Linked DNA regions of Oreochromis niloticus. The main gene of each other region encodes a partner of the protein of the gene in region 4 in a complex. Links are inferred from orthologs where the notes say so. Each region holds a gene or a part of one and is shown on either strand. Other genes may lie near its edges. The genes, in order: zfyve28, rapamycin-insensitive companion of mTOR, mapkap1 and rptor.

Region 1 (7,868 bases), on a different chromosome or scaffold from region 4:
CTCGGATGACTTCAAATTTGCGGCTCATCTCTGCCTCTGCTTCCTCCAATGCTTGACGAAGCAGCTCCTGGTTCTGTTCGGAGACTTCTTTCACTGCGAAATTTGTCATGACATTGATGTGAACAGCAAAAAGAAACACGTGAAATGCCCCGTGTGACAAGCTGCTTGAGGAGGCGTACCTATGCTTTGCTTCAGCTTCTGTAACTTCTCTTTAGCTGCCTTTGAATTCTTGTGGCCATCTGCCACTTGTTGCACCAGATCCCTTATTTCCTTTTCCTCTTGCAACCTTTTCTCAGCATATCTTTGCATCAGCTGAGCTGTCTAGAAAAAGCAAACAAGCCATAAAGAAGACGACAACAAGTTTATTCCTCTGTGAATTCCTTTTATTTATTAGTTGCCACGTGGTCTTTACCTACCTCTTCTTTCTTCAGCTGCGCAGCCTTCTGATTGCGCTCCATTATACGTTTGCGGGCCAGAGCTGCCTCCTGTTCACTGATGCATGCCTCCAGGTGTCGGCGCTCAATCTTGGGCAACTGCTCCTGAAGGTCCTTCTCACGCATCTCCTTTTGCCACTGCAGGAAAGATGAAGGATCGCGCTCCCCTTGCACCAGCCGCTCAATTCTGTATTACAAACAGATGCACAAGGGATGCAAATTTTTATGTGTTGATTTGCACTTCACTCTCGTGGAGCACTATGCAGGCACCTATCGTGTCCAACACCTTGGAAAAGGTTAAAGTAGCAGGTAAAAGCTGCGCTGTACCTCTGGACCTCCTCCTCCACCCAACGCTTATACAGTGCCTCCTTCCTTAGAATAGCTGCATTGTTGAGTTTGATTGGATAGCTGACCGCCTGTAAAAAATACACACATGACAGCAGATATTACACCAACATTAGGCTATCTAGAAACAGGCAGAGTACTTAGGTCTTACCTTATTACTAGAAGAAGCTCCACGGGAATGAAAGGAATTAGGCTTGAGCCTTGAATCCAAGTCTTCCTCAATCTTGGACATCACTCTCTGTGGAACAAGTATGGTGTTGAAGCCAACAGAATACAAGCCCACCCTCACACACACACACACACACACACACACACACACACACACATACACACCTTTGTGTGCTCAGACTTCTGTGGATTTCCACATCTGAACTGTTTGATATTTGCTTCATACAGAAGCTCCTTTGGTGGAAAACAGATAAGCGAACATTTTAATGGCAGTATATGTAACTGAATTTAAAAATATAAAAAGTTTGGATAATAGCTACTATTATTGAACTTAAATGTGCCAGCTGCTGTTTAATTGTTAAACTTATCTTCTTTTGTATTAGATTCATTGTACCTGAGCCTTTTGATGGTTCTTCTGTTTATTCTCCTCTATTATCTGCATCTCCTTTGGAGCCTTGTAGGTGCTGCTTGGTACCTGCAAGACAAACACCTTAAGAGTGATGCACCAGCCTCTACACAGTTTACAGCTTACACTCTCTTTAAGGATTGAGGACATGAAAACTTCTCAAAGTAAAGGACTTTATGTAACTGATACTGACTGGTTTGCATTTCTTCTGCTGTGGGATGAGCTCGGGCATGGGTAGAGGCCGCGGTTTAGGTTTGGTGAGGGCGAACTCCTGGGGCTCAGTGGTTTTGGTTGCAGCTTTCTTGAGCAGATTCCCTTGAGAGATCTTGACTGCAAGCTGGTCCATGAGAATATCTATCTCAGGGCGCCACCTAAAGGACACACAAGCAAACATTTTGGTTGTCTGAATTTGAAATGCTCTGCTCACAAAACGACCTCCACTGGAATACTTGTGCACATTTCTGACCAGACTGTGAGAAACAGACTCAATGAGCAATGGCATGAGCAGCCCTTGGTGCCCTACTCTCTTGCATGTTCACACTGAGCCTATGTGACAGGCATGAAAGAGTCTACAGATGCTGTGCCGCACTTCATGTGACTTCAGCATCAAATCAATCACTGAATACAGCCCTCACAGGATTAAAAAGTTTGTTTTCTACTGACTGCTGTCATGTCTTTTTGTTGTCAGTGAATTACACAATGTGTAGATTTAAGTTTCCCCTTCATTCTTTGAGTTATTATAGTGTTATTACCTAAGAAGTATTTTCGTTCATCATGCTTTTCTCACCTGAGTAGAGGCCCAATCCAGTGTTTCTCCACAAAGGCAGCATCATAGATGTTGTTCCACTCATCCTGTATCCACGTGGTGAGGTTTGAGAAGAAGAAACCTAAAAACTAATTTTAAAAAGTGCAACATAAGAAAGCTGCTGATTAATTTCCCTCTTCTGTACTCAGAATTTGTGTTTCTTACCATGTGCATTTTCTTGATGTCCAGAGATTTAACAATGCTGCTAAAACACTGAAGCCCGAGGTCATCAAGAAGAAATGTGGCCAGGTAACAGATAACTGGGGAGCAAGACGACCATTAAAACATGTCAGTTCTTTTATTCAGGCTGAAATCAGGAGTAGCAATGAAGTTACTCACCAACAAACTGGCTGCGTTCACCTCTGGACACTGATTTTACATGCTGGCCATAGAAGGCATTGATGACTACATCCAGCAACTTCTTTTGTTCAACACATCCGGAAACAACATCTAGAATGAACTTCCTCTGCAGCATGTCCATGTCCTGTGACAAAACAAGAAATACAGGCTAATCAGAAGCAGGCCTATGCATCCACTCACATTGATCTGAGTCTGACATACCTGCAGATCCTTCATAGCATCTTCTGTGAAGTCATCCAAACACTGTCTGCTAGCTCTAAAGCTGTCGAGGAGCTGAACGGCTTCCTTCACAAGTGATGCATAGTTTGATGCCATCTTAAATCCACTAGAAAAGCCCACAAATAAACTGTTTATATAAGCAAAGCTCACGCATTGAGAGATGAGAGAACAAACAGTTCTCCCTGGGATAGACAAGCCAACCGGGCTGCTAATGAAAGACATCAATTCACAAAAAATATTTGCTGTCTTCGACTCATAGACAGTCTCCAGCCATCGCTGTGTTGCGTCGTTGCTTAGCAACAAAACACAGGCGTAAACAGAAATACGTCCCAGCTCGAAATGTTAAACGAGGAACGCTTTAGCAAAAAAATTAATCATTTAGATTCAAAAGAGGCGTTTTATTATTGCTCAGTTTAACATATTAAATACTTCACAGTTTTAATCCGTACAGATTAACAGAGTGCCATCCTCATCCTTTGTTGGCGTCCATAACAATAATAATGACGTCGCGTGTTGTGACGTCTTGCCGGGGCTGTGCTGATCTTCTGCTGCCTTCAAGTGCTTTTGGAAATTCTACAATAAACAGACGGCGATCAAACTGACACGTTAAAACATCTGGTCAAGATGGAAACCCGTTCTAAAAACCGAATGAAAGTTGTTGGGTTGTGCTTTAAAAAATAATGGTTTTACAAAAAATGTTGTTTCCTAGCTTACCAGGGGTTTTACATTGTTGATATATGAGGGACAAAAGCTAATTACTGGGTAAATCACATGCAAACTGGGGTTTTGTTCTCAGAATCGAGCATCTGATTTCCTGGTTTAACCTGATCATCATAATCATATTTCTTAACTGGAGTGAAAACAAAGTCATTTGTTGAATTTAAATTAGGAAATACCAAGCTAAGTTTATGATAAATCTATATGTGATGTTTTAGAAAACAGAAAGTTGAAATAACTCCAAAATAGCTTCTGGACAAACACACACTGCTGATGGCAATCATGTAATACAGGCGAAAGCTAAGGAATAACCTGGAAGTGTATTTTGAGTGAAAATTGTTTTCCCCACTGATATTTTCTCTCTAATCTCTTTTACAAATCTGGAAAATGTGCTTAATTTACTGCTCCTCATTTGGATGGTCTTTACTGCAAAGATCTGTACACATCCTAAATCATACATTTATTTGATGAAATTTCCCTGTATTTGCCTGACATTTGATTTTAAAGTTAAAATGAAACAACAGTGGGCTACTGTATTGTTTTTCTCACACAATCGAGTTATAAAAACTTAAAACCTCCACTAATCATACTTAAATCTATGCATACACTATTAATACTTTCTAGATAAGGGGGGTCAAAGTCTTTTTGGGTTACTGGCCAAACCCAATTTCATCTCAAGTGGGCTGGGCCAGCGAAGCTATTGCATAACATTTTAACAGGATAAAAATGTTAAATAAAATGTTAAATAAATCAGTTTTTTGTGATTTATTGAATGTACTGTTACAATTTACAGATTGCAGATGATGATGATAGGTTTTCTTTTAAGCAAAAAAAAAAAATGTTTTACATCTTTTTGATGTCATTTGACATCAAATGACTTTTAACTTTTTAAATTTTCCACCAGGAGCAGCAGAGGATTTTCTTGGAAAATGTGAATAAGTAACACAACTGGAATATATGGCGGGTCAGTTTGACACACTTCCTCTAGATTCTTAAATTATTGTAATGTAGTAAATTCAAATTTGTTACTTAGGTAACAGAAAACAACTGTCATTAGTAAACTTTTCTTATCTGTTGCTTATGTTTTATTACATGAGGATAAAGAAAGTACACCATCTTTAAATTTGAAGGGCAGCTGCAGCTGCAGTGTGTGAAGAACTAAGAGACTCTTAAAACGTCCATAGAAATTATAATCATGGTTAGAAGTTTAGATTCACTCATCATAAGCTTAAAATGGTAATGTTGTGGCTTGTAATGATTTCTTTGAACTGGTTTCTTTTTCCAGGGTGGAATGATTGTACAGTATACATCGTTAATGACCCTTTTGGAGAGAGAAAGCTATTTTTTGGAGGAGCACTTGAACGCACCACTTCCTGGGAAAGTGGGAGGTGAATGTTGTCAACGTGACTGTCATCGAGTAACGTTAGAGGGGCAGAGAACAGCGGAGCCTTCAGTGCTCCAGTTGTCTGTATCGTCGGGGACTTGGAAAGTGACTGGGCAGGTGGAGGGACAGGTTGCTAACCTCGGGCTTCAGGGAAAATGGAAATAAGTGGTTATTTCCCAATACCTCCTTTGTGCGCCTTCAGAGCCTCGGTGTAACGTTCAGGACAACTTGCCGTACATTGTCTTTTTTCCTCCTTTTTGGACCCAAGCAGCGCTAGCTAGCTTAGCCGCCAGCCAGCCGCCGATAGTGTCAGACACACAGGTACAGGAGAAGAGAGGAGGGGTTGGTGACAAAGGAAGGTGGCGAGGTAACGATGAACCGCTTTCGAAAGTGGCTGTATAAGCCCAAGGTAAGTTGTGTCAGCCCCTGCAGTCAGTCATTTTTTATGCATAGCTTTGGAGCTCGCTAGCCTGATCATTTCATAGACTGTCAGCACATCTGCTAACGTTAGCCCGTGTTCCTGATGTTACACTGTATTAATCAGCAGCTATCCCCTTTGTTGTTGTTGATGCTTTTGTTTTGAAGCTGCAGTCAGGACTAACAATGCTACAGTCTTCCAATTTGGGCTGATTAATACTGATTTACTTACATCTGTCTTCAGCTGACGTTAGTGTTCATGTGATTCTGTCTTGTTATTTTAAAGGTTTGAAATACCTTAATAAATCACTGATTAATAACAATGACAAGACCACATCAGAGCTGAAAAAATAATCGTTTTGCTTGTAATAGTAGTGTCATTATCATGTCGTTACCACATAAGAGGAAATATTTTAAAAGTAGAATATATTTTATAACAAAAGCTGATGTTTTTAATTTCCTTAAGAACTATTTGTTTTCATTATTGATTCTGCTGGATATTTTTTAATAAACGGGTTTATCATTTGGTGCATACACATGCTAGAAAATAGCACCTTTTTAAAAAATAAAAAAATTGCAAAAAACATGATTAAAATTAAAATATGTGTTTATTCCAAACAAAGAACAAATAAAACATGGCACAGTTTACCTGAATGTGTTATTCTGGTTGACGTTTTCCAAGATCCAAACCTTTTGTAAAGTAGAAGGTGACATATTAACCTGATTTTGTTGTGGTATCAGTTCAAAGTCAAAATATATTTTATTTATATCAGGCAGGACAAAGACACTTTGTTACAATTGATAGGGTGGACTTTAGGAAAACATTGTTTTGTGGCATCTAAGCCTTAAAGACCACCAAAATACTTACCAGCTATTTTTCTCATGCAGTTTATTTAAAATATTGATTGTCTCAGCTCTGTATACCATTTGTGAATACAGTCTGAAAAAAGGCAAAACAATCAAATCCTGCTCGGGAAACACATTTGTCAGCAAAATCGTCACTTTTTGGGTGCGCTAGTAATGGATGTGCTGTGATTCCTTAAATCAAGCTCAAAGTGTGGAAACATGCCTGACACAGCAGAGGAAGTATTAAAGGCTTGGTTGCCTTGTTAAATGAACAGTTCAGTATATGCCAACTGCAGCACCTTTTAGGATGAGTGAACGTGAACATTTCTCTGGGTTGAAAATTCTTGTTAACTTTAAACGTAACTTTTCAATGTCCAGAAAATTGCTCCACCCTTTCATTCGTAACATAGCACTGTGTTTGTGTCAGTATATTGACTTAAGGCTTGCACTTAAAAGGATAAACCTGTGTCATAGCTGCTGTACATCGTAAGTCTTTAAAGATTATTAAGCTTCTTAAACAAGCTGTTGACTGGTGGAGGTAACTGTTATTTCTTGGCATGCTCCTGCTTTCCTGAAAGTTCCTCGATGATAACGTTCAGAAAAACCCTTGTTATTGTGATACCTGTGATAAGAGGTAAGTCAACTGATAGGTCACTGTATGTTTGAACTCCACACTCAAGAAATCATCGGATGAAACAGTGGTGATTACAAGATATGCTGCATAGCTAAGCAGTTGTGATCACTCACAAGGCAAGCTAACTGAGCTTGAGCCAAACTAGCTGCCCATAGACCATGGGTGGGCAATTAATTTTCCCAAGAGGCCGTATGAGAAACTGGGACTGTTGTGGACTTGCCCTACATTATGATTCGATTGGCTAGCAACAATGTGAGCAGAGCAACAGCTCAGCATTTCAGTTTAATTCAATTTTTGTGTATTTTTTGTTGTTGTTGTTGATTTTAGTGGTTAGCGATGCTTAATTTTTAAGTCAGTATTGCTAGCAGTGTTGCTCTTTAGATCTGAGCTTGGCTACGGCCTATGGCTCAATAGAGTGGGTGTGGCAATCACTCAAATGTTGAAGTGCCCACTCTGAGTTGCAAGTTTCCCCGCTCCTCCAAGTAGAGGAATTTTAGTATCTTGGGATATTGTTAATGAGCGAGATGAGAGCAGATCGGGAGATTAACAGATGGAGCGGTGCCAGCCTGTTATGGTAAAGAGCGAGCTGAGCTGTCGATTTAAGGGTCAATCTATTTTCCTAGCTAACCTATAACTTAAGATGCATTCTGGGCACCTCCTAAGTGAGTTGCTCCGGTCCCATAAAGAGGGGGTCCAGGGGCAGAGCACAGATATGTTGGAGATTATACATCTCTTGGCTGTTTTAGAAGCACTTCAGTGTCCCCCTAGAAGAACTGAGGAGGTGGCTGGGGACAGGGTTTCCTGGGCATCGCTGAAAATAAATAAAACTTAATCAATTCATGTTTGATGTAAAGGGATTTTTTGGCTTGGAGGAAGGGAGTTTCTAGAGTTCATTCACACATTGGCAATAAAAAAAAAGTGTTTAGTACATGAAAAATCCGTTTTGAATTCGAAACCTTTAAAAGGTTTGGCAACACGTATTTCTAATTGGGAGCATAAGTAGAGTATAAGTTAGCCGTCTTGATAATAGAAAACTGCTGAATCACATCATCATTGGGTAATTATAATAAGAGCTTTTGCAACAGTAATGTCACACAAGGCTTAGATAAAAGGCCTCTGATTACACTTTGTCC
Region 2 (7,099 bases), on a different chromosome or scaffold from region 4:
ACATCACTGTCTTTGCACACAGACACAGACAGTCCTGTCACAACAAAGTGAAGAGCAGACAAATACCTGCACTCAGATGACAAACTTTATACCAATTTGACCCCAGCGTAGGTGCAGACGGAGAGTGTGAAACTGTGGTAAATTAGACAGTTGTGCACATGGTTTTGACTCTTTTTTTCCCACCTGAGGTGACAGTCAGCAAGGCCAGTGTGCTCAAGGCACAAGAAAGTGCTAGTTTTCTATCTCACGCTCATCTCGCAATCATTAACTCATTTTCTCCACCCCTGTTATTCCTGTTCAAAATAACAGGAAGGAGACTACTCCAGCATGTTTTGGGTTGACAGGAGAAAAACACCCTGGAGAGGTCACTAGTCCTGACCAACAGGGCTGACCTGAATGATGAGCGAAAACACTAAAACAGATTTTTTTTAATGAGCAAGAAACTTAAATTTCATACTCTTTTTTTATTATTATTGCAGTCAGTCTGCAGTCAGCTGAGACTGAAGAAGACACTTAGATGAGTGACGAAACGTTTCTCAAACTGAAAACGCTACGTCCAGATGAACAGAACAAACTTTTGGGGATATTATTGCTATTATTCATCTCTGTATCAGTAACATTTACTGCTGTTAAGTGAATCAGAGCAGTTATACTGCATGGTCAAAACAATTTAAAACTTGTATGGGCTCACATGTGTTACAATCCATGTTAGCATATTTGTGTTTTAAGCCTTGCTAAACTGAAAATCCTCCTAAATCCTCTGTTTTTTTATCATTCACATTAAAAACCAGAAGAGAAAAAATGACTAAAATAATCTTTTCTTCTTCTTTTTTTTTAACAAATCAAAGTCTCAGGTCCATACAAACAATAACTAGACACTATTAATCTCAGATTTCAAAGTCTGAGCACTGCTCCACATGCACATTAGACTGGAGTGCTCTCCTATCCCTCGAGCTCCTGTTATATTCACTGTCAGCATCACAGTGACAGGCACAACTAGGCCTGCTGGCATCAACACCCAAGAGGAAAAGATCAAGGAGAGGTCAGTGGTGACACTACAGAGGAGGAGCAGCTAATCAATCTTGTGAGAGATCTGAACCAAGTGAACCCTCTCAAAAAGCTACATGTCTCACAACATTTCAGCAAGGCAAAACTGTCTTTAAATGAGGCAAAATTATCAGAGCTTGACAGCGTTACCTTTATGAAGTTGTTCAGGTGGCCCAGTTTTCGCATGTTACTGACTCCGTGCGGTTTGGCCACATTTTGAAGGATTTCACGGAAGTTTTCTGACGGTTCTGAAGGAGAATGAAAAGGAAATACAATGTAACTAAGGGAGGCGTTAAGCCATATTGCCATAATAATATCAGTCAATGAACCGTAATAGATATCCTGCAGGAAGGAAGTTGGTTTAGCTGGAACTAATGTAGAGTGTACAATCAAAACAAAGGCTAGACATTAAAAAAGCAAGACCTGAGCGGGAAGTGTTTTTGTTTTCAGTTCCTTTCAACTATCCTACGCTAAATGTTTTGACAAACGGGAACCGCATTTTAAAACAGAATCGTCTAAGCGTGGTCGACGCCTTAACGCCCGCTTTGCGTGGGATGACTTCCACATATTGCCCTGCAAGACAAATGTAAACATCGCACAAACTAGGAAAACACCAGCTTAATGAGCTGCTCAGATCACTTTCTCCTCAACAACCAAGCGCAGCAGATGATAAGCCTGATTCCACTGCAGCTTGTCAAAAAGTAATAGCTATCGGTATTAGTCATCAGTCTCACTGCTCCAAACACTGCACTCAATCCATCGCTCAAAAGTGGAAATGAGAAAAATGCCAGACCAAAGGGTTACTTTGGTAACAAGCATTTGTAAACATCACGAGCCAATCTTACAGTAAGTTATGAATACATCACATTTTAATTGATGCCACAGTGATTACATGAAATTAGTATGCACATTTGTTATTTCATCATTTTCAACCTCTGGGAACTGACATACTTTAGTTTTCCCCAGTTTTGGTACTGTCAGGAAGAACATGTAAATAGTGTAAATCGCACTGAAGCAGCTGATAGGTTAAGTGTATTGACTCTCCTGTGGTGAAGATTTTAATGTTGTCAGTCATACATTTTTAGGTGAGCGTGTCTCTAGTTGACACGATTGTAACGAATCTAGCAGGGATCTGGGCCTCCAGGACTGAGACACTGCTGCTCCGTGTAAACAAACTGCTATGCAGTGTTGATGCTGGAGGAGTAAATCTGACAAGTTGTGCAGCTGTGTTATCAGTGCTCCTCTGGAAGATCCACCGTGTGCTGCCTCAATGCTTCTCGGCGCACAGCTTTCAGACTCAATTCCCCCAGCCAGTTAGCGATGACAAATGCATGACTGCAACTCTTATGGCTACTTGGCTAAATAACAGGCTATCGTGCCCACTCACGCCGATCAAAATAACAGAGCGTCTTCATGGCTGGTTAGCTGCAGCTAGCTAACGCTAACTCAGCTAGTTAAGTTAGCTCGTTGCCGCCTGTTGTTATGACATCGATAGCGACGTTTTTAGACCAAACAGTGAGGGAAAATGGCGAAATAACAACAGCAGTGATGGGTCAAGCGCGTACACTGTCTAGACTTTCACCACGCGGGGCTAGCGTTTGCAGATATCGCCCTCATCCATTTTGAACAATAATCGCTTTCAGGGTGATGTGATGAAGCCTCTGCTTACCTCTGCTCAGATCCAGCGGTACGTTCTCCTCCCCGCTGTCATTCCGACCTGTCAAAAACACACACCGCGGACACGCCGAGACATTACTCCAAGGTCATCGCGTGCGTGACAAAATCATATTTTGCAATATCCTGCTTTTACAGCAGCCGCTGAATCGAGGTTTTTGTGCTTACCTCGCATCCGAAGACTCCGGATAGGACGGCCGCGGAAGCTGGCCGCCATGTTTCCAGGAACATACACAACACCGGAAACTTCGCGGGTTATCGCGAGACAGCAGACAAGAGAGGGACCGCAACAGATCCACAACAGACCTAAGATCAGCTGGATCCTCCTTAATATCCCTCTAATCGTATGAGGGATAAAGCATAAATCTGACCTGGCGACTGTGTTAGGGTTAGCAAAGGGGGATCTCATTCAAGAGCTAAATTTCTATCACAAATATTATCATTTCAAGTAAAGTTAAATTTTCACTTGCCTTATCCATTCGTTTTTTATTGTTTAAGTATATTCTTCTTCTTCTTCCTTTTTCTATTATTAATATTATTACTATTATTATTATTATTATTATGCATACATTTAACATGGGTTTTGACTGAAAAATACTTTCAATAAGTCATGTCTATGAGTGGCTCCAACTCGAACTTTCACAGACATTTCACAGTTATAACTGAAGACTTCACAGTTTTCACGCATAAAGCCTGTCACTAAACATTTAAAGTAGTTTATTCTGTTTTTTAAAAAATGTAATTTTAATGACTATCTAATGTGCAAGTTGTTATTATGCAGTTATTATTATTAATTATTTTTTGGTAAATATCAAAAGTAAATAATATCAAAAGTAAAATGTCATATTACAGCACAACTTCTTGTTAGTTTGTTTTTCTGCCGTTTTACTAAAGGCAAAACAGGTATTCGTTGGAGAAAAGAATAATAATAACAATGAATGACTATAATGTTCAGCTTTTCAGGTCTTAAAATCTGCAATAACCATCTTGCACACTTGGTGTCACCCATACATAACAATGAACATTTTGTCAATCTCTGGGAATGGACCGAAATGTGGCTTCACCAATTGAAATAAATAGACACTCTCTGAGTACAGGCGTATTTTGTCTGTTTGCAAATTAATTTCAACTAACACCTGAATGCATGAAAGAAAGTGACTTTTTCTCTTACTCTCTAATAGCAATGACTCTACATACTGATTCTGATCTCGACTCAATTTAATAGCCCAGTCTGAAAAGGACAGGAGTATTGTACAACCTTCACAATCAAGCTAATCAGGAAAAAAAAGTTAACAGTATGGAAGTAGCTTATAGCAGGCCTATTATATTTACATTAACATCAATAACATTAATGTATTCATATTTTAAAATTAATATGAATAATTTTTTACTAATAAACAGCCTAAAGGACATAGAAACAGCTGACTAAGTCACTGAAAATAGAGAAAGTGTACAGTCACATGAGAAAGAGATATGATAGGCAACTTTATAAGTTACATTTGCGCGCTGAGCACATCAGCTAGTGCCCTGGAATCATCGTAGATACAAAGTTATACAGTAGGCAATGGCTCTGTGATTCTTTCTCTTCTTTTAAATCCTCATGGGTTGTAATGAGAGATTTTATATTAATCTTTCCCATACTCTATGAGCTTACTGAATGTATTAGGTAGATCATTCTGATATTCTGCTAGTGTACATGATTGGCAATTCAGGGGCTTTAAAATGTGTCAATAGTCACTCACTCAAAAAAAAAAAAAAAATCTTCAGCCATAAACTATTTAGTTGTTTTGACTCACTGGGGCAATGGCAGCTGCTGTCTCCACTGGATGATAACAGAGACTGTAAAACCTCTCTCTGCCTGTTGATTACAGTGTAAACACAATGTGCTGCATAGTTCACCGAGTTCTTAGTTTAATGCAACCAAAGTTTATGGTTACAAGGGAACACAGATCTGGAAAATAGACTGAAAGCTATTCACCACCTGACATTAAATGAACTGCAAAGAAGATTCAGATGCTTGCTATTACTGCATCTATCAGTTCGGTCATTTAAAGAAGTTCAGTTTCTTGAACTTAAAACCATGTTTTGGATTACTGACTACCTGACAGAGAGACTGTAGTGCCTGGGACTGAGCAGAGCTCTGTCTGATTAGGTGATGCGCAGCACTGGAGCTTCACAGAGGACTGCACGGTCTCCATTCCTGTTCACCTTTTGAGTTGTACAGATTTTCAGTACAACTTCAGGTCATAGCACCTATAGAAACGCTGATGATTCTGCACTGCTCTGACAGGAGAAGCACTGGAGAGTTGTCTCATCAGAGCAATCTGAATATGCTTTATTTTGAAAGTCTGATCCCTACACTAAACCCAAAAATAGATTCCTTTTGAAGTTTATTATATGGGATCTGCTAGAGCCCTGATTTTCCTTCCTGCTGTGATCTAATGCCCTCCTGATGATAGAACGCCATCTGGGACATTGAGCTGACCACCCCAGTCAGGAGAGCCAGCATAAACGATATCTTTTCTGCTGTTTTCTCTGAGACATGTTGTAACCTCAATACAAACAATTCTTTGCCAATGTCAATGTTTGAAGATGAGAACTACAAACAAACTGCATACTGCATCTGTTAAAACGGCAAGGATTCTGGCTGGGTGCTGAAGTGGCCTGGCTGCATTCCAAACCTTCCACTAGCTGAAAACATTTGGCGCAACATGAAATCAAAAATACAACAATGAACACCCTGGACTGCTGAGCCGCTCAAATCCTCTATCAAACAACAATGGGACACCATTCCTCACCCAAAAGTCCATCAATTGGTCTCCTCACTTCCCAGATGGTTATGGGCTGTGGTTAAGAGAACAAAGGATGCTACACAGCAGTTATAAGATGTTTTGCTGCCATCAAATTTAAAATAAATCTTTTCCCCCCTTAAAATGTTACAATGTCTCAATTGAAACATTTGATTATGTTCCATTATGAATAAATTGTGTCCCAACTTTTCTGGGGTTGTTAAATAGACTAAAATATTAAAAGTCTATGCAACCCCATTACATAGTAATACATACTTTATTAAAGTATAATTCCACACAGTTTTATTATATTTTTTATTGAGACAAACACACAAATATGGCTTCCTGCTTAAACATAAGGATTCTTTTAAGTTAGTGTGGCTGCAGATACGAGAGCGTCAATATCCTGAATTGCTTTGGATGTCCTTTGAAGAGCTTCAGCAACATAGTTGTCATTTAATGGCTCACGAGTGACGTCTGCAGGACTTTCCTCCTCATCTGCATGTGCTTTTCCACTTTTTAGCACGTGGCTGTTCTCCAGCAGAACTGGGCAAAGGATGTTAAAGAGCACAGAGAGACAGCCTCAATACAGACAATACAGACATTAGTTTAAAGCATCCCTTTGTATCTTGATCCCAGTGCTGAAGGATACAGCTAAATCGCTTTATCTTCTCAAGCTCTGCAGCAACGAGCTCTGATCTAAAATGAACAGTACACACAAGCTGTTAACACCTTTAATTTTATAACAAAATATCGACAGAGTGACCAGAAAAACACAACTTACAAACTGCCTGCTTCCTCTGTCACACTCATGCGTTGCTCAGCAGGCACAGCAATGGGCACCTTTTCTTCAAACGCTGTTGGTTTACAAAAATATCCATCCTGCAAACAGAAAGAGATTCAGTAACTGGCAGTGCACAAGCTTAAATGGTGGATAAAGTGTAGGTATCCACAGGTGTATCAGGAGGTACTACTACTTCGAGATCTTGCAAGCAGCTGGGTAAGGCTGGACACTTCAGTGACTGCATGGCCTGGTTGTAGCAAGCCAGGATCCTGTAAAACAGTTATGCGATGGGTGGAGACTGGAAAAAATTAAAAGTCCTTTAACTCACCAGACTGTGATGAAGAGGGGGCAGCTTACCTGCTTGCACGACTCACAATAGAGCAAACAGAGTAGGCCTGTCCAAGCACATCAGGTGGAAGGCTGTTTAAATGGTAGGTTACCTCTTTGACCTGTGGTAAAGATTGGCTAAATTTGTAAGATTATTTTTAAAATGTATTGGTTAAATTTTATAATAAGAGGTTAAAGTTTACCAGCCCTGACTGGAGTTCAGTTTTGTGATGCGTAAAATAAGAGTTAAGGTTGCGGTTAGAGCGGATGACTGATCCATCCCCTGGGGAAACCTCAACAGCTGAGACAGGTCCACTCAGTATCCTACACAGCAGACATGAAGGTAAGCACACTATTCTAGTGTAGATTTATAGACCATCTCCCACACTCTATACTGTAAAACAATGATTTTTTTATCATGAGTATGAAAATTGAAGATTTCAGAGATCCTTTCAGCTTTGGTGTTAGACTGGATCAA
Region 3 (7,727 bases), on a different chromosome or scaffold from region 4:
AATTACTATTACATTCATGCCCATGATCCACTGGAGCCATAGTAGTAATGGTAATAATACCGACAACAACAACAATAAGAAAACTGAAAATGTAAAACTGAATTCCACATTTGCTGAAGTAGTGGTTTTCCCTTACTTTTTGTCATCATGGCGGAAATGTTTGCAGAACTTTGGTTTTATATAGAGTAGGCACTTGATTTTGGAGCACACAGAAGCTGCGTGACACATAGTCAATGATTATTCATTTTGCTGTGTCATTTGTCATCTCCATAACCATATTTAATGCAATATGTCACATCATATAAATTACTTAAATGCACAATGAACCACAGTGTAATCCCAAGCTTTTCACATGCGGTGCACACAATTTAACTCAGTGAAACCACTGGCCCTGATTAGCCACACAAAACCCCTTCAAACAGCAGCAGAACAGGCTTTCTGGCTGTCTCCCACCATAATGACAGGAGGGAGGTCTGACAGAAAGCTGGCCCAACTAACAAGCTAAAGCCTGAAGATGAGTTTACCTGTGTTGGAGCGCCGACGAATGCCAAAGTCCCAGCTGGAGGTGATGTCCATAGACTGAGAGAGGTCACAGGGATGACTGTCTGTCACACTACTGCCCCCCTCATTCAGGAGGCCTGACCCAGTTGACCCAAAGCTGCTACCAGGGACCAGAGAAAGCTGGCACTTCTCAAGATCAACATCCTGATCTATTAGCACCATCTCACACATTCCAGTATCATCACTGGTCACATGAGATTGTCTGATGTGAGCCAGGATAATGGCCGGATTGTCCAAGAATGCCATTTCCTCTGTTTGGCTAAGTGTGTCTTTTCGCTTTGGAAATTTTCTCACCCTCTTGCCTGTATGCCAAAGGGTTCCTTTTCTTTTCTTATCAGTCTCTGTTTGAGAGTGTTACAGCTGTGACTGATGACAAGAGAAGTGTCACCTTTTCCATCTTTTGATTACTATTTTTTCAGGTCCAAGGTAGGCAAAGTAGTCCCTAAGGAGAGCAAAGAAATTGTTATTACATGTTGCAGTCTAGAAGTAGGATTTCAGCTCAATCTTTTAAAACTGATATATTTAAAAACTATAAGCTCAATTCACAGCCCACTTTAACTTCCAACTTTCACAGTTTAAATAAATAAATACAATAAACTAAAACAAGAAGCAAATCTCTGCCAAGGCAGCTCACTCTCAGGGCAGTATTTACTTTTAAAGGACTAGTATTGTATTTTGTATACATTCTTTGGTTTTTGTTCTTTATACAGTCCAGATCAAAAGTTTAAGACCACTTGAAAAATGCCAAAAAAATGTTTTTTCCATATTTTGCATGGTTTGATCTTAACAAGGTTCCAGTAGAGCTTCAACATGCAACAAGAAGGAATGGGAGTGAGACAAAACATTTCTTTTGAGCATGCATTTTATTGAAAACAACGCTTAAACTGAAACAGGCTGTTTTACACCCGATCAAAAGTTGAGGACACAGCTAGCTATTTGATGTGGGACGGTAAACTTTAATGTTTAAATGGATCTATTTTAAAGATGTAGAGCTCTAATGTGCAGGTGCTGTCTTAAAAATCATCAATGGCAGCAAAATCCCACTCAGTGATAAAACTGTTAGGTAGAATTAAAATAATTATTGTTTGCGCCAAATCACCAGATTAAGTGAAGAATTTTCTCATCATTTTTAAAAACAGTGATGCATTTTACTGGATATTTAAAGATTTTTATTGCAATTTGATAATATCTCTAAAGTATAGGTAGCACCCACAGGAACAATTTTGTATGGAAGAAGAGTCACATGATTCCTGAATCGCCTATTTTGTGATTGGTCAGATGTCTGGCCGCACATTTCGTGTGAATGCACAGGGGAGACCCTTCGTTAACACAGTGACTTGATAACCAGCTTTGTGTGATCGGTTATCCTGATCGTCAATGTTAAGATAAGTGAATCCAGACAATGGAAAGATACCCTAAATATGTTGAACACACATAGTTTATCCAACTCCTGCTTCACAGTATAGGCCTCAGCTTGGCTGAGGAGGCTTTAAAAGTCTCAACAGTTAAAACAAAGATCTGACACAAGATTGTCATTTTGCCAATGATCTCTTCAAAAGGATTTGAACTTTGATACACAGACAAACAAAAACTGAAGTTTGACTGTCCGTGATATTAACACTGAACATAAAGATGTTGATAATTTCAACATGTAAATAAGAGCTGTAAGCCAGGCCAAAACAACCCCACACTCAAACTGGGTTGAACGAGATACCCACGTTAACATGTCCAATAAAGGATCAGGACCAGACCGCCAAGGTTTTTTTAACTTTAGTAAATAAACGTCAAACTATTAATAAAATATTGTTAGGTTTTGAATAGTTCCCATTGTATGCGGCGGGGCCTAATCTTTTATTAGAAGATCCAGTTATTGCAAAGAGCTTCTAGACGACGCTAACTGCAGCTAATAAATGCTGTAGTGTATTGTCAAGTTTGTCCTTGCTGACAGCTTAAGGGTCTTCTTCTCTAAGGCGAAATGTGTTGTGGCGTGTAATGCCAAGTGATACTGTTTGATACCTGCAAAAGCACCTCATTTAATGATTCGCCGTAGCTTTTTTTAATGCTAACCATCGTAGCCGGCTGACTTCAAAGTAATACTTTTTTAAATCAGGGCCCGCCTGGTTAGAGTGGCAAAAGGGTTTATGTTTAGCATCAGGATTGCAAAAATATTTCACCAGAAGCGGTTCTATCTAGTAGCTTGCAAGCTCATTTAAGCTAACGCGACCAGCATTTGCGTTGAACCTCCCTTGTTTAAGACGACGTCTTACCTTTAGATTTATCCGCCAAGGGAAAGAAACATCCACGATTCTCCATATGTTACAAGCATAATCATAATAGAGTCAGAAACTCTGTTCATCACGACTAATGTTCCACATTAAAGTCATAATACAAACACAAACCAACTCAACCTGGTATGCTCTGCCTAACAACCAACCCACAACCAGCCCAGCGATACTTCCGGTTCCGTTACTTCATGATAAAAGGAAAAAACAAACTATGATTTCGTTTTCACAGAAAGCATCAATCATCGACATATTTTGCAACATTTTTATCCTTATTACGCTTTTATTAAAATATATCTCCTAACACACAATAACTGTTTATGAAAATATTATGACTTAATTTGATAAATTATAATTAATTAATTAATTAATTATAATTTCATTATAATTATAATTGTAATAAAAAATATACCTGACAGTCAGGGAGGGCATTTTATGTTCTTCGACCTAAAATTAGGTCCATATATATTTGGACTCTAAAACAAGTTTGTTTGTTTTTTTACCTGTTTACTGAAACATATTCCAATTCTAGTTATATAATTGACATGGACATAATATTTAATATAATAAAATTTAAACTGGAATGAAGAGTTCAGGAGATTCAGCTCCTTAAAATGTGCCACCCTTTTTTTAAAGACACCAAAAGTAATTGGGCAACTGGCTCAAAGGCTAGGGGAGCCTAAAGGTTGTGGTGAAAGAGTTCATTACGTTTTGTTCTACACTGAAATCGATAGGACAGTGTTAACTGCACAGTATTGCAGGCAGCATTTAGTGGAGATGGACAAGCCGCAAGGAAATGCTCCAACGAGCCACGATATAAACATGCCATTATTTGCATCTGTCGCTTTTCCAGTGTTAATCAGACCCTTCCCAGCTACATCAGCTCAGCAGTGTTGTTGCTGGAATAATTTAAAAAGTATCTGGCTGCATCCTCCTCTGTGTAAGGATGATTGAAGGTATGTTGAAATTATTCCAAAAAGTCATTAAAGAGATGTGAGTACATTTATCGATTTTGTCAAGCCTGCTAAAGTAAATAAAATGCTTAATTTACTAACAACATGCATAATTTTAAGAGAAAGCCGTATAAGCTGTATAATATGTGTATTTGTCATGTTCCATGAGAGTGTCTGTTGGCGTGCTCCCAGGGTCCGCCTTCTGGGGCGGAGGTTTTGGTGTTGCATCAGATAGCATCACCTTAAGGGTTTTCAGGTCCTGCGCAGATCAAATGTGTGCGGTGATGGAGCACATCTTCGAACTGAGCCTGAGGCTGGGGAGAGTTCAACAGCTCTGGAAAACTCTTGTGTTGTACCAGTGCCAAAGACTCCATGTCCCAAGAACTTCAAAGACTACAGGCCGGTAGCTCTGACATCCTACCTGATGAAGGCCCTCGATCGGTTGGTCCTAGCTCAGCTTCAGCCCCTGGTGAGCTCATCACTGAACTGACTTCAGTTTGCCTGCCAACTTGGCATTGGAGTCGATGATGCCGTCACTCACCTCCTACATCGTTCCCTCTCTCACCTGGAGACTGCTGGGAGCACTGTGAGAATCATGTTTTTTTATTTCTCCAGTACCTTTAACACCATTCTTCCCACAGTCCTTAAGGACAAGCTGGAGAACAGAAGTGGACCATCACCTCACAGCATGGATACTGGACTACCTCAAGAAAGGACAGAGCAGGCTGTACCTGCTGCAGAGGCTCAGGTCTTTTGGATTGAGGGGCCCACTCCTGAAGACCTTCTATGACTCTATGCCCCAGACAACATAGACCCTGCAATTCCTGGGAAACAAAAACCTGTTCTAAACTGCAGCAATTACCCCACTTTGTTTTCCATAACTGGGTGCACTAATTGAAGCTTCTCCTGTGTCTAAAAAATAATAATAGTTATCTGAATACCTAAACAGTTGTCAAAATACAATCCAGGTAAGTAAGTCGGACTACGGACAAAGGTTTGAGATTGTTTCAGAAATGCTAAGCCCCCAGCATCCAACATCAACATGGAGGAGAGGAAGGCACTCACATCACTTATAATGACAATAACATTATCATCCTTCTGGCAGACAAGGGTAGGTGCATGGCTGTGCACCAGAAAGACTATCATGAGAAAATGTTGTCACTGCTCAGTGACAAAAATATTTATGAGCCCCTGAAACGAGACCCAGGAAGTGGTTGCAGGAAGAGGGTGATAGATTCTCTGAAGCAGTTAGAACAAGAAAATGCTATTGACTGGGTCTCATACCACAGGCTATACCCAGGGGAATCTATACCAAGTCGTTTGGTTTCCCGAAGATGCATAAACAGGGTGTAGGGTGTACCAGTTTTCTGTATGATCAACTCAGTCACCTATAACATTCCAAAGTTTCTGGTTTGAAAACACTATGTCCAGAGGAAAAGAATCAACCTTTTCGGATTTGTTGCATGGTGGACACAAAAATGTACATTAGCAATTAAATAACAGAATAAGGCTTTCAAAACATTAAAAAAAATGTTCCCAAAATCTAATAAACTACAAAAAGAAACAAGCACAGGTTAGAAGGACCATGATTATTGGAGAAAATACTGTGATTTGGGTAAAAATACACCATTAGACAAGGTTTGGTGTACTTTAAAAAAAAAAGAAAAGAAAAGAAAAGAAAAGAAAAAATCCCTTTTCACTTCCTCCATGTAAAGATTGGCTACAATAGGTGACATCGGGGAGGCCATAGCACATCCATGTTTTTGTCTGTAAAAACCCTTGCTGTAATTAAAATATGTGGTAAGGCAAATGTCTAACAGTGTCCTTAAACACTCCTGAGAGAGAAGTATTAATTAGTAATCTTAATAATAACAAAAATAATTTAAGGATAAGGGAATTCTTTCAAAGCGACTCAGGGCACATAGTTCTTGCAGATATTTTTACATTTTTGAAGGAGACAGGAATTTTAAAAGAAATATATTGGCGGTACTGTAGATTCTGTGCTATACGCCAATCTAAAAGGTGGCGGTAATGCACCTAGAAGTTATTTTCCAACCAAAAAAACAGGAGAAGAAGAAGAAGAATTTCGCTACTTGCCAACCAATAAATATTAAGAAGAAGAAGAAGAAAACGGCGACGACTCCTCCGAATCCGAACGGGTTCTTTCCGCTTTTCGAACAATGATGTCTTCCTGAACCCGCTAGCTGGAAAACTGTTATGCAGATACGCACAGAATAGGTTGTGTTTAGCACTGGTTTGATGGATAAGGCAATTTTCTAACGATGCGAGCTTTTCCAAAGCTGTGAAACGACCTAACCAAACAGAACACTAAGGAAAATTTTCGGAAACCGCTCACATCCAACTGTTAGCCTGTTTCGGTAAGTGGTCAACCCAGCTAGATTGCTAACATTATCATTTATTGCAAATCCTATGTCTTCGCAAGAATGTGATACGTAAAGCTGCCTTTGGTGGTGTGATTGACTAAGGTATGTGATATAAGCGCTTAAACGGTCCAAGGGATAACAGACCGTTGGCTGGCCAGTAAAACCATAGCTGATGTCTGTCGTCGGTTGCAGCTGGCGTATGGAAGATGCATTATGTTACCTGACTAGCTTGTTAGCTTGGTCGCTTATTTATTATTTCACAGTTACAGTTGACAAGCGAGGGCGAGTTATGGTCGGACAATAAATAATTTAGTTAAACTGTTGGGTTAGTTATGGGTGTTGTTAGTAATTTATGTTAATCCCTACGAATCAATGCGTAACTTGTCCTGTATGGGGAGAACTTTTGATTGACATCTTTTTATCTCATTTCACCACTGGAATTTTGAGTGTCTGGACGTAGAAGAGAAATCCAGTCCTTTGCAGAGGAGCTCGCTCGAGACCCAAAAAGCAAATTTATGTCCTTAACTTAAGCTGTTTGCTTATACCCCTTTTTTTTTTTTTTTTGATGACTTATATAAAATAAGTTGCATCAAGATTTAAAAAATATGACAATTGAAGTTTTTCCTCACAAGCCAATAAAAATGTACATGGGCCTTTAAAACTCTGAGCCACTGTCCTGAGGGTTGTTTGGTTGGACACTGAACAATACTAATACTACTAATAATAATAACCTACTGGGGATGGAACAGTTTACAAAATCTGTGGTTCTGTTCATAGCACAGTTTTGGGGTCACTGTTTTTGATTCGATTTGGTATATTTGGCTCTTGTAAGTTAGTGCTCTAATAGGGTGATACCATACTTTGAGATCATTAAAATAGGCATCTGGTTAGATACTATATTTCTGAGATTTTTAAGGGACGAGTACAATAACCTCGGTTTTATCTGAATTTAAAAGCAGAAAATTAGCGGTCAGTGCCTTCTAATGATACTTGGAAGGGAAGCATGTATAATGTAAACAGAACTCATCTTAGCATTGAGTCCTTTGGAATTCCATAATTAACCTTAGTGTGTGAAGAGGACTCTCCATTTACATTACAGGTGTTATATGGAGGTGAACTATTTAAACATTTTAAAAGACCAGTTTTTTGTCTTTTGAATATTTATTACTGCTCATTAATAAGACAAAAGTATTTCTTATTCGATTATTTGATGCAATAATAGATACTTGATTACTAAAATGATCTAAGATGAGCCCCAGTACAGTCTCTACTTATCTGAAAACAAGAAATGTCCCGCAAGAATAATATTAGAAAAACTGTTATAGAACATAATGCAAGCAGTTTCAAAATTAAGTGTATTCCAAACTAATAAAATGGGAGAGGTAGGAACAAGAAAATTAAATATATTGATCATAAATAATTCACATATTCACAAAATGTATTTGTCTAATATATTATGTGAGGATAATGCAAGGATCAAAATATAAAAATGTGCTTTTTGAAAAGTAGACTATATAATGGGGTTAACTATGTGCATTTCAGATTAT
Region 4 (7,944 bases):
ACCATACTATAATATTTATCGTTTTAAAATAACAGTGTTGAACATTTCTAAAGCTGTATCTAAAGCATCAAAACTCATTAAATTAAATCAACAATCTTAGATTTCCTGTTTTATTGGTTCCAGCTTAAAACTAACACAGTCCCATCAGATATATGAGCATGAAAATGCAGCTATACAAGTCTCTATGAGCTGAGATAAAAGGAAAAACAGCCTCTGTGACCTCAAAGCAGAGCTCACACAGGAAACATCCTCAGGCTCTTGAATTACTCCTGGACATGGATGAGAAGAGAAATTACCCTGTCCTTCATCCGCCAGCTCTGCGCCAGGGCCTTGGAGCCCTCAATCTTCTCTGAGTGCCTCTTCTTCATGAAGGCCAAGGGAAGTTTCCAGTCATTCATATCGGCCTCCTCTTCCTCAGCGAGGCCCACGGCCGGTGAATGAAGCAAGTCTGAGTCCATTTTCATCAGGGCCCTGCTGGGAGAGCGCTCATGTTAATGTCACTGGTTGGATTTTGAAGTGTCTTTAGCTGTAGCTACTGGGTATCCACAAAAAGATTTGTAGGCTCACTTTAGCCATTTAATTACTGCATATAGTCAATACTGACACTAGTCTAAAAAATAAATAATTAAAAAACTTAAATCTTAAATTTGGAGAAATTTCCAGTCCAGATGCAGCCAAATGTGCTAAATTTGCTAATCAAAACATACTGTGCAGCTATTTTATTAAGTAATGGAAGATAAATAATATATAAACACAGTAAAAACAGAATATATACACAACAGATGTAAGCATCCCTAAATACATTTTTGGTTACCAACTGAGATATTCATAGGAAAATTTAAACAGCAATAAAAGCGCGCTGTCAGATAACTGCAGTAGGCCTGTTCAGAGAGCTCGAGACTTGGATCCAGATTTAGATAAATTTATTCATTCAAACATCTTCAGTGTTTAAACAACATGTAAGAGAACTTTTGCTTCCTTTTTTGGTTATAAAAATAAAACATTTGATTATATTATCTTAGCACTAGTATAAAAAAAATTAACAATCATGACTTAGATCCACAGGTCTCTCGGTGCAGCTGTTGAAGTCCTACAGGATGAAGACCTGACCTCAGAGGCAGCCGTCCCTGTTTGTACGTTCTTGGACATGTTTGTCCCTCTTGGCCATGCTACCACCACAAATACAAGCCATTTCTTTTGGGCCAAAGTCCACTTTGTCAATATGGATCACCCATCATCTGATAAAGATCCGTCCTCTTAAATCCTTCCTATACAGGATTGGTGAGGGCCAGGGCTTATCCAAGCTGGCATTAGAAAGCAGGTCTAACACAGCCAATTTATAATCACAAACACACCTCACAAGCATTGTGGGAAGAAGCCAGAGTACCCAAAAGAAACCCATGTAGGCACAAGAACAACATACAATCTCCACACGCTGTGTGGACCAGGGCCGGCCGGCACATTCAAACAGTTGTTGCTGTTTGCTGACCTCTGCACTGTCCATTCTGTAACTTGGATTGAAAAATCTATCTCCAGTTGTAAACAATGGGTACACCAAAAGCCCCCCAAAGGCTCGGTCATCATCAGACTGCTACTGTCCCATACAGTAACAACAGGTCCATCCCTTCTTGTACTGTTGTTACGGGCTATACTAAGCAGGCTGTTTCTACACTCAGATAATAATCTGATTATCAACACTGGCTGCTGACTTTTCCACTTTATGCCCTTTAAGTCATGGGATGGTGGTTATGAGTCATTTTTATGCCGTGTGAATCTGATGCTGTGAATCCTGTTTGAATGAAACCCACAACAGCAACTGAAACCAAACACACTCACATCTGGCTTCCTCCACTTTATTTTAACAGGCTAGCTGCCTGACTCTGTAGTAAAGCAACAGCTGCAGAGGTGTTTCAGCTCTACAGCTGGAGCCACGGCAGAGGAGGTCGATGGGTTTTATCTTTAGTGCCTCTGCATTCGTGCTAAAACGGCCCAGCTGTGTTAAACTTGTCTGCACGGATGCTGGCGAGCAGCAGGCTCAGTCCAGTCCAGCTAGCTAAGCTAAACTAGCGCGGCTAATGTAACAGCTCTGCTGCTGTCAGGTGTCAGACTGCACCGAGGCCGGTAATATTCACTTAAAGCCTTTTTAAAGCGAGGCTCTGAAACCACACACGCGTGACAGAGATAAGAGGACCGAGCAGATGTGCAGATAAGGCACGGAGAGTGTCAGCGAAGCGTGCAGATGCAGACCTTGGTGCGGTGGGATTATCAGCCCGGGCTGTGGAAGCTCTCCTTCTCCGGACAATGACAGACACGGTCGCACACACAATCCTGGTCAGCAAATTGTAGGGCAGCGTCCAGAGCCTGTAGAGTAAGTCAAAGCCGTCAAATCCGAGCTGCACGGGCGCGTGTTTGCAGGGGAATCTGCGGCTCCTCTCCCCACGGCTCTTCGCTATGGGAAGGGGCTGCAGGCGAGGCCCATCTTCACACGGACAGTCTGCCACAGCCACACGTAACGCCGGCCGCACTTATCAATGACTGGGCTCGCGTGGACTCCTTCTACGTACCAGCGGCCCTGGTAGTCGGCTCCGAGCGACAGTCTTCGAGGAAATCTCAAATAATTCCGAGAATTTCTCCGAAGAGGCACTTCTTCAGCACTTCTGCAAGGGCGCAGCCATCTTGGGTTGAACCCAGAATGCACTGTTGGGGCGGCGAAGCTGTCGTGAAACGTCACAGCTGTTGTTCCTGGCGTCACTCACCAAAATATAAACACACGTACTCACGTCAGCCTGAAGCCTTTGAAACCTGCACGACAAAGTGGCTTTGAGCTGTCCTTGCACGAAGGTTGTAACTAATGAAAGGTTGTAACTGAAGTCTTTGTAATACTTGCAGTTTTAGCGTAAGTGTACATTTACCAGCGCAAAACCTTTTTTTTCCCTTCAAAAAGCATTTACGATTTTGTAAATACTTTATTTAAATGATAATGGCCATTTTTTGTCAATGTTTTTTTTTTTTTCTTGAATCGAAATTAGTATTTCTTACATATAATTTTTATGACTTTTTCCCGTATGTTGCTCTATCACCAGATTACTTCAGCTTGACAAGGTGGTTTGCTTTGCTGCTTCCTTTGGAGGGACAAATCCCACTGTTTAGGAAAAGGTGCTTTGGAATTAAGAAAAAGAAGTTATTATGGTTTTGGTTTTCTTTCTTCTCCTGACATTTTTCCCTTGAATTTAATTGTAGTATTCTTTATAAGTATTGAACTTTATGTTCTGCATCTTCAACTTACAGTAAAGTTCAAAGAAAGAAAAAAAACTTCAGCTTGACAAAGTGCTTTACAACTTCATTTGAGAAAACAAATCTCGTTATTTAAGAAAAGGAGCTTTGTTATTTTTAAAATGAGAACTGAGGTCTGGAAACAAGGACTTTTCCCCCCCCCAACATATTTTTCCCAACTACCTGTTTTATGTATCAAATTTCTATTAAAATGTGACTTCATAAAATCCCAAATAGGTTGTGATGTTATCAGCTTGGTTATTAGCTTACAGAAATAACTTGTACCCCATGCGTGGTTAAATACGTCTCACCACAGCTCCACCAATTATTTCCAGTAGGCTTAAATGTATTGAACTGCTGCCATGCAATTGGTTGATTAGATATTTGTGTTCATAAACAGCTTAAAGGCTGTACTTAACAAGCGCTTGTGAATCTGGTCCTTATTTTTGTACCAAATGTCCTTATTTTTCCTTATTAAAGGGAAAAGCTTTAACAAAAAAAATAAAGAATACACTTACACAGGTTTGTGGCCATATTTATTCAGCGATAGTGGGAAAAAGCACTTGCATGGATCCTTCCTTCCTTTCATCCTAAACACCAAAATATTTGCTTTAATTGTGAAACTATTTCAGGTAATTTTGCTGTCACTTGGGGGGACATTTGCTAAATGGCATTATTTTTTAATCAGTACCAGCTAACATTAATTTAGTTGTTACACCATAAGCCATACAGTATTTATACAATCAGTTGACTTGTTGTATGAGTAGGACGTCAATACTATTGAAATGGACTGACATTTATACAGCAGTTCTCTTGCTTAATAATCACCCAGTGTGCTTTAAATTACCAGTCACATGCACACAAGTCTCCTGGACAATTTCGAATAATCGACTAACCTAACAGGCATGTTTTTGGACTGTGAGGGGAAACCAGAGCACCTGGAGAAAACCCACTTAGTCACAGTTTAAGAACATGGAAACTCTGTACAAATAAAATCCTCAGGAGGGCTCAATCTCAGAGCCATCTTACTGTGAGGAAATAGCACGAGCCACTGATGCCACTCATAGTTATCCCATTATGGGAAATGGCATCTGGGTTAAACTGAACTGAATACCCCCTCAAAAGAACTTCTCAAGCATCCAAAAAGTTAGAATCATTGGATGAAATCTGATACAGTGTTCCAGTAACCATATCATCCATTTTCTTAACCACTCATCCAATTCTGAGTCACGGGAGGCCAAAGCCCATCCCCACTGTCATAAGCTAAGACGTGGGATACAACGTGGAGAGGAACAGAAAAAAGGCAATAACTCACACTCACACCTGAGGGGAATTTAGAATCACCTGTTAACCTTACATGTGTGTCTGAGAGAATCCACACACAGTGGTGCAATGGTTATCCCACTGTCATCCCACACCAAGAAGGTTCCTGCTTTTAAACTGCAGGCCAGCTGAAAAGCTGGAGCCTTTCTGTGTGAAGTGCATAGATTTCATTAACATACTGTAAATAAAACAGAAATGCAATAATAGAGTGAGGTTCAGAAAACAAAAATAGATTTCCATAGCTTATCTCATTCTCCGTTTCAAGTGTTACCAAACTGGATGGAAAGTATGAACTACTCTCTGAATGCAGTCTGACAATTTCTGAGAGGCTAAAACTTGCTTCTGTCTGACTGCTGTAAAACTGACTGACAGTGAGCTGTTGGGATGCTCATCCTTTTGGCAGGCTGATTTCTTGGTCAACTTTCTACTTGGTTGTTTACTCAGCTTGTCCCAGCAGCCTACTCTCGGAAAGGTCCAGATGGTTTCAGATGTCTTCCATTTCATAAATATTTAGGCCATATTCTCCCCAGAACACTCAAACCTTTAGAAATGATTTTATACCCTTGGCCTGATCTGTGCCTCACCATAGTTTAACCACACAGGTCTGTAGAGAGTTCTTTGGACTTCATTGCACTGATATTACCCCGATAAGCAGCGTGGATTGCCTGCAGGACTTTTATCTGCACATGTGTATGCCTCACTATATTATCCCCAATCAACTCAGTGTGCCACAAAGGGAATCTGGCGAAGTTTGAGACACATTTCATGAATAATTAAAGCAGAAAGAATAAACCAGACCAAAAATCTGGACCGAAATCAAGAAGATGTTTGTAAATGAGAGATTTATTTAACCTGAAAATGTGCACATCGCCCCTCAGTAGTTCATAAGGAGTGTTGTGTTATGTGTAAGTCATAAATGTGCCCAAACCCAGCCATTTAGACTGGCTTTAGCTGTGCTTTTTAAACCAGTATAGCAAACTGGTGGAAATTAGGAAATTAGTTTCTAAAATTAGAAACATTCTGTCTCAGAGTGATGCTGAAAAACTAGTTCATGTATGTATTATTTCTAAGCTCGACTATTGCAGTTCATAATTATTAGGTTTTCCCAAAAGCCTTTAAAGTCCAGTTGATCCAAAATGCTGCAGTGAGAGTCCTAACAGGGACGGAGCATATTTCTACCATACTGGCTTCTCTTCATCGGCCCCCTGTTAAATCCAGAATCCACTTTAAAATCCTTCTCCTCACATATAAGGTCTTGAATAATCTGGCCACATCTTTAAAGACCTCATAGTACTGTAGCACCCCATTAGAGCACTTCGCTCTCAGACTGCAGGCTTACTTTTGGTTCCTAGGATAATTAAAAGTAGAATAGGAGGCAGAGCAATTCAGTGCTTGTGTTAGCATTCTTCTACATAGTACAATCCACACACCACATACTTACTTTCATAATTGCATTAATTCAATAGTGCAGTGTTGTCTCTCATTGAATACTGCAAGCTGCCCATTTATTGCAGCATTTTATGATGACTGACACTTTCTGGGCGTTTGTGTCAAACCTCTGATCACACAGTCTTCTAAATTGAAGGCAATTTAAGCATAAATAATGCCACATGTCATGTAATGTAAATTAGCACTTGTTAAAATCTGTTACCTTTGTTCGTTCTGTTAATTTTCCTTAATTTGGTCTCATAATGATAATTGAAAAAATTAAGTCAGCTGTGAAAATTCAGACAAATAACAACTCGGCTCAGGAGAATAATTCAAAGTTCCAGTTTTTACACAAGTTGCTGAATTATTGATGTCATAGTCAAAATATGATGAAGATAAAAAGTAAATTTTTGGTTATTTGTAAGAAATTGTTGATCAGTGCTGTAAAGTCATGTTTTTCAATCATTTTCCTTAATATTTAATTAATTGTATCAATAAGCTGCCATAAGCTGCCCTGCAGTGTGACTTTGAAATATTAGTTTAACTTAGAGATTAGTTCTGTTTGTACGTTCTTGGTTATCCAGGTGATTTCGAGAACTTGGGAAAAAGGCAGCTGGAGTTTTTTAGGTTTTCATCAAAGACGCAGCTTCTGTTCTATAACAACTGGTGGAAAGTCCCAGGTAATAAACCCTTAGTGAGGGGCTATCTACTTTGGAGGTGATTCTAAGGGTCGTTACACCTCTATTCATCATGTGAGTTGTGATGCGAGCTGGTGTCGTAAGCCCACATATCTGCTCAACGATAGTCGTTCACAGCAAGCATAGATGGCCTCTTTTACTCCTCTCTCCAACAGACTTCCTTCTCGGCCCAAAATGTGAACTTTGGCATCATCAAAAGCGTGACCTTTGTCCTAGTGCAGATGTACAGCTGAGTCTTGTCCTGCTCATCTATGTTGTGCCATATTTTTGTGGAGCGGATGTTTGGTGTCTCCTGTTTGGAGATCAGAGCTCTCCTCACTGCACTGCACCGTATACGAGCTTGTTAAGCTTTTGTTTGGCTGCTTTGTCCTTGGGATGCAACAGTTTTTGTCTGAGGGTGTTGCTGGGTTTGAAGTGCACTGAAATGTCATGCTTGGAGAAAATTCTTCTGAGTTTCTCTAACAAATCTACAATGCTGTTTTGTCTGTTAGTCTTTTTCTCCCTGGTTGTTATCTGACATTTCTTTAATTGTTTGTGTTCCACTGGGTGCCGGGAGTCAAAGAGCTGGTATTAGTCTCTGTGTGTGGATTTCAGGTAAAATTCATTGTTGAGGCTTCCACGCTCTATAAATGAACACAACACATTCCAGAAATGGTAACCTTTTCCTTTGTATCCTCTGTGGTGAACTTGATGTTTTTATCCACTCAGTGGAAAACACATCAAGTGAAGGACTGGACCTCTTGGGTTCTGATTTTGACCCAGGCGAAGCTGACATATCTGAACCCAAGTCTTGTCCCCATCAAAGAGCCCAGAGCTTTACTTTCCACTTCCTTCACTTAAAGGTTGGCTGTGTTGGTGACAATCAGTAGCCCATGGCACATGCATGTTTTTACCAGGAGACACCCACATTGTATCTGAAATATGGGGTGGTAAGGCAGAGGTCCAACAGGGTGCAAACCTAAACAGGGGTGAAGCTTGTTTGAGGAGCTGTCTTTCTGTAGTTGTTTCCTGACAGGATCAACTGCCTTGATTGTGGGTATATACGTAAAAAGTGAAACAACATCAAACGACTGCATGGTTTCACCTGGAGTCAGCAGATGAGTTTTTACTGCTAACGATGGGTCAGAAAGGGGCTCTTTCTTTATGATTCTTGGGAGGTCCATATATACAGGGTGTAGCATCGTTGGGGTATTAATATGGCTTCCCCCACCTCAGGTTTTTC

The links.
Region 1: the proteins of rptor (region 4) and zfyve28 are in contact, whole or in part, in a cryo-EM structure (PDB 9F43), measured with the Homo sapiens proteins. The link is inferred for Oreochromis niloticus from reciprocal best matches to the Homo sapiens genes RPTOR and ZFYVE28. Residues at the interface, in NP_065812.1 of Homo sapiens: Arg54, Arg305, Arg306, Thr317, Asp321, Phe337, Arg338, Leu341, Ala344, Arg348, Leu437, Gln438, Leu440, Leu441, Ser442, Gln443, Arg446, Pro474, Tyr475, Lys478, Leu479, Gln481, Ser482, Ser483, Ala484; in NP_066023.2 of Homo sapiens: Arg399, Val400, Phe401, Phe402, Met403, Asp404, Asp405, Val406, Glu407.
Region 2: rptor (region 4) and rapamycin-insensitive companion of mTOR share a complex: the UniProt entries of both Homo sapiens proteins name them as parts of the mechanistic target of rapamycin complex. The link is inferred for Oreochromis niloticus from reciprocal best matches to the Homo sapiens genes RPTOR and RICTOR.
Region 3: rptor (region 4) and mapkap1 share a complex: the UniProt entries of both Homo sapiens proteins name them as parts of the mechanistic target of rapamycin complex. The link is inferred for Oreochromis niloticus from reciprocal best matches to the Homo sapiens genes RPTOR and MAPKAP1.

What each region holds. Positions count from the first base shown.
Region 1 is NC_031983.2:11,616,043-11,623,910, forward strand, and holds the start of zfyve28 (lateral signaling target protein 2 homolog), read left to right. Parts: upstream 1-4,858; 5' UTR 4,859-5,211; coding exon 5,212-5,247; intron 5,248-7,868. Other genes in the region: cfap99 (cilia- and flagella-associated protein 99), read right to left, coding at 1-93, 180-321, 417-621, 762-850, 931-1,017, 1,113-1,181, 1,342-1,422, 1,547-1,724 and 4 more. UniProt on the Homo sapiens protein: Negative regulator of epidermal growth factor receptor (EGFR) signaling. Acts by promoting EGFR degradation in endosomes when not monoubiquitinated.
Region 2 is NC_031977.2:11,885,034-11,892,132, reverse strand, and holds the start of rapamycin-insensitive companion of mTOR, read right to left. Parts: upstream 3,002-7,099; 5' UTR 2,939-3,001; coding exon 2,890-2,938; intron 2,765-2,889; coding exon 2,717-2,764; intron 1,296-2,716; coding exon 1,198-1,295; intron 1-1,197. Other genes in the region: lg12h5orf34 (uncharacterized protein C5orf34 homolog), read right to left, coding at 5,878-6,056, 6,163-6,209, 6,295-6,392, 6,488-6,563, 6,652-6,743, 6,825-6,945. UniProt on the Homo sapiens protein: Component of the mechanistic target of rapamycin complex 2 (mTORC2), which transduces signals from growth factors to pathways involved in proliferation, cytoskeletal organization, lipogenesis and anabolic output.
Region 3 is NC_031972.2:8,478,095-8,485,821, reverse strand, and holds the start of mapkap1 (target of rapamycin complex 2 subunit MAPKAP1), read right to left. Parts: upstream 3,020-7,727; 5' UTR 2,829-3,019; intron 1,004-2,828; 5' UTR 808-1,003; coding exon 525-807; intron 1-524. UniProt on the Homo sapiens protein: Component of the mechanistic target of rapamycin complex 2 (mTORC2), which transduces signals from growth factors to pathways involved in proliferation, cytoskeletal organization, lipogenesis and anabolic output.
Region 4 is NC_031971.2:37,768,902-37,776,845, reverse strand, and holds the start of rptor (regulatory-associated protein of mTOR), read right to left. Parts: upstream 3,004-7,944; 5' UTR 2,248-3,003; intron 475-2,247; 5' UTR 465-474; coding exon 297-464; intron 1-296. UniProt on the Homo sapiens protein: Component of the mechanistic target of rapamycin complex 1 (mTORC1), an evolutionarily conserved central nutrient sensor that stimulates anabolic reactions and macromolecule biosynthesis to promote cellular biomass generation and growth.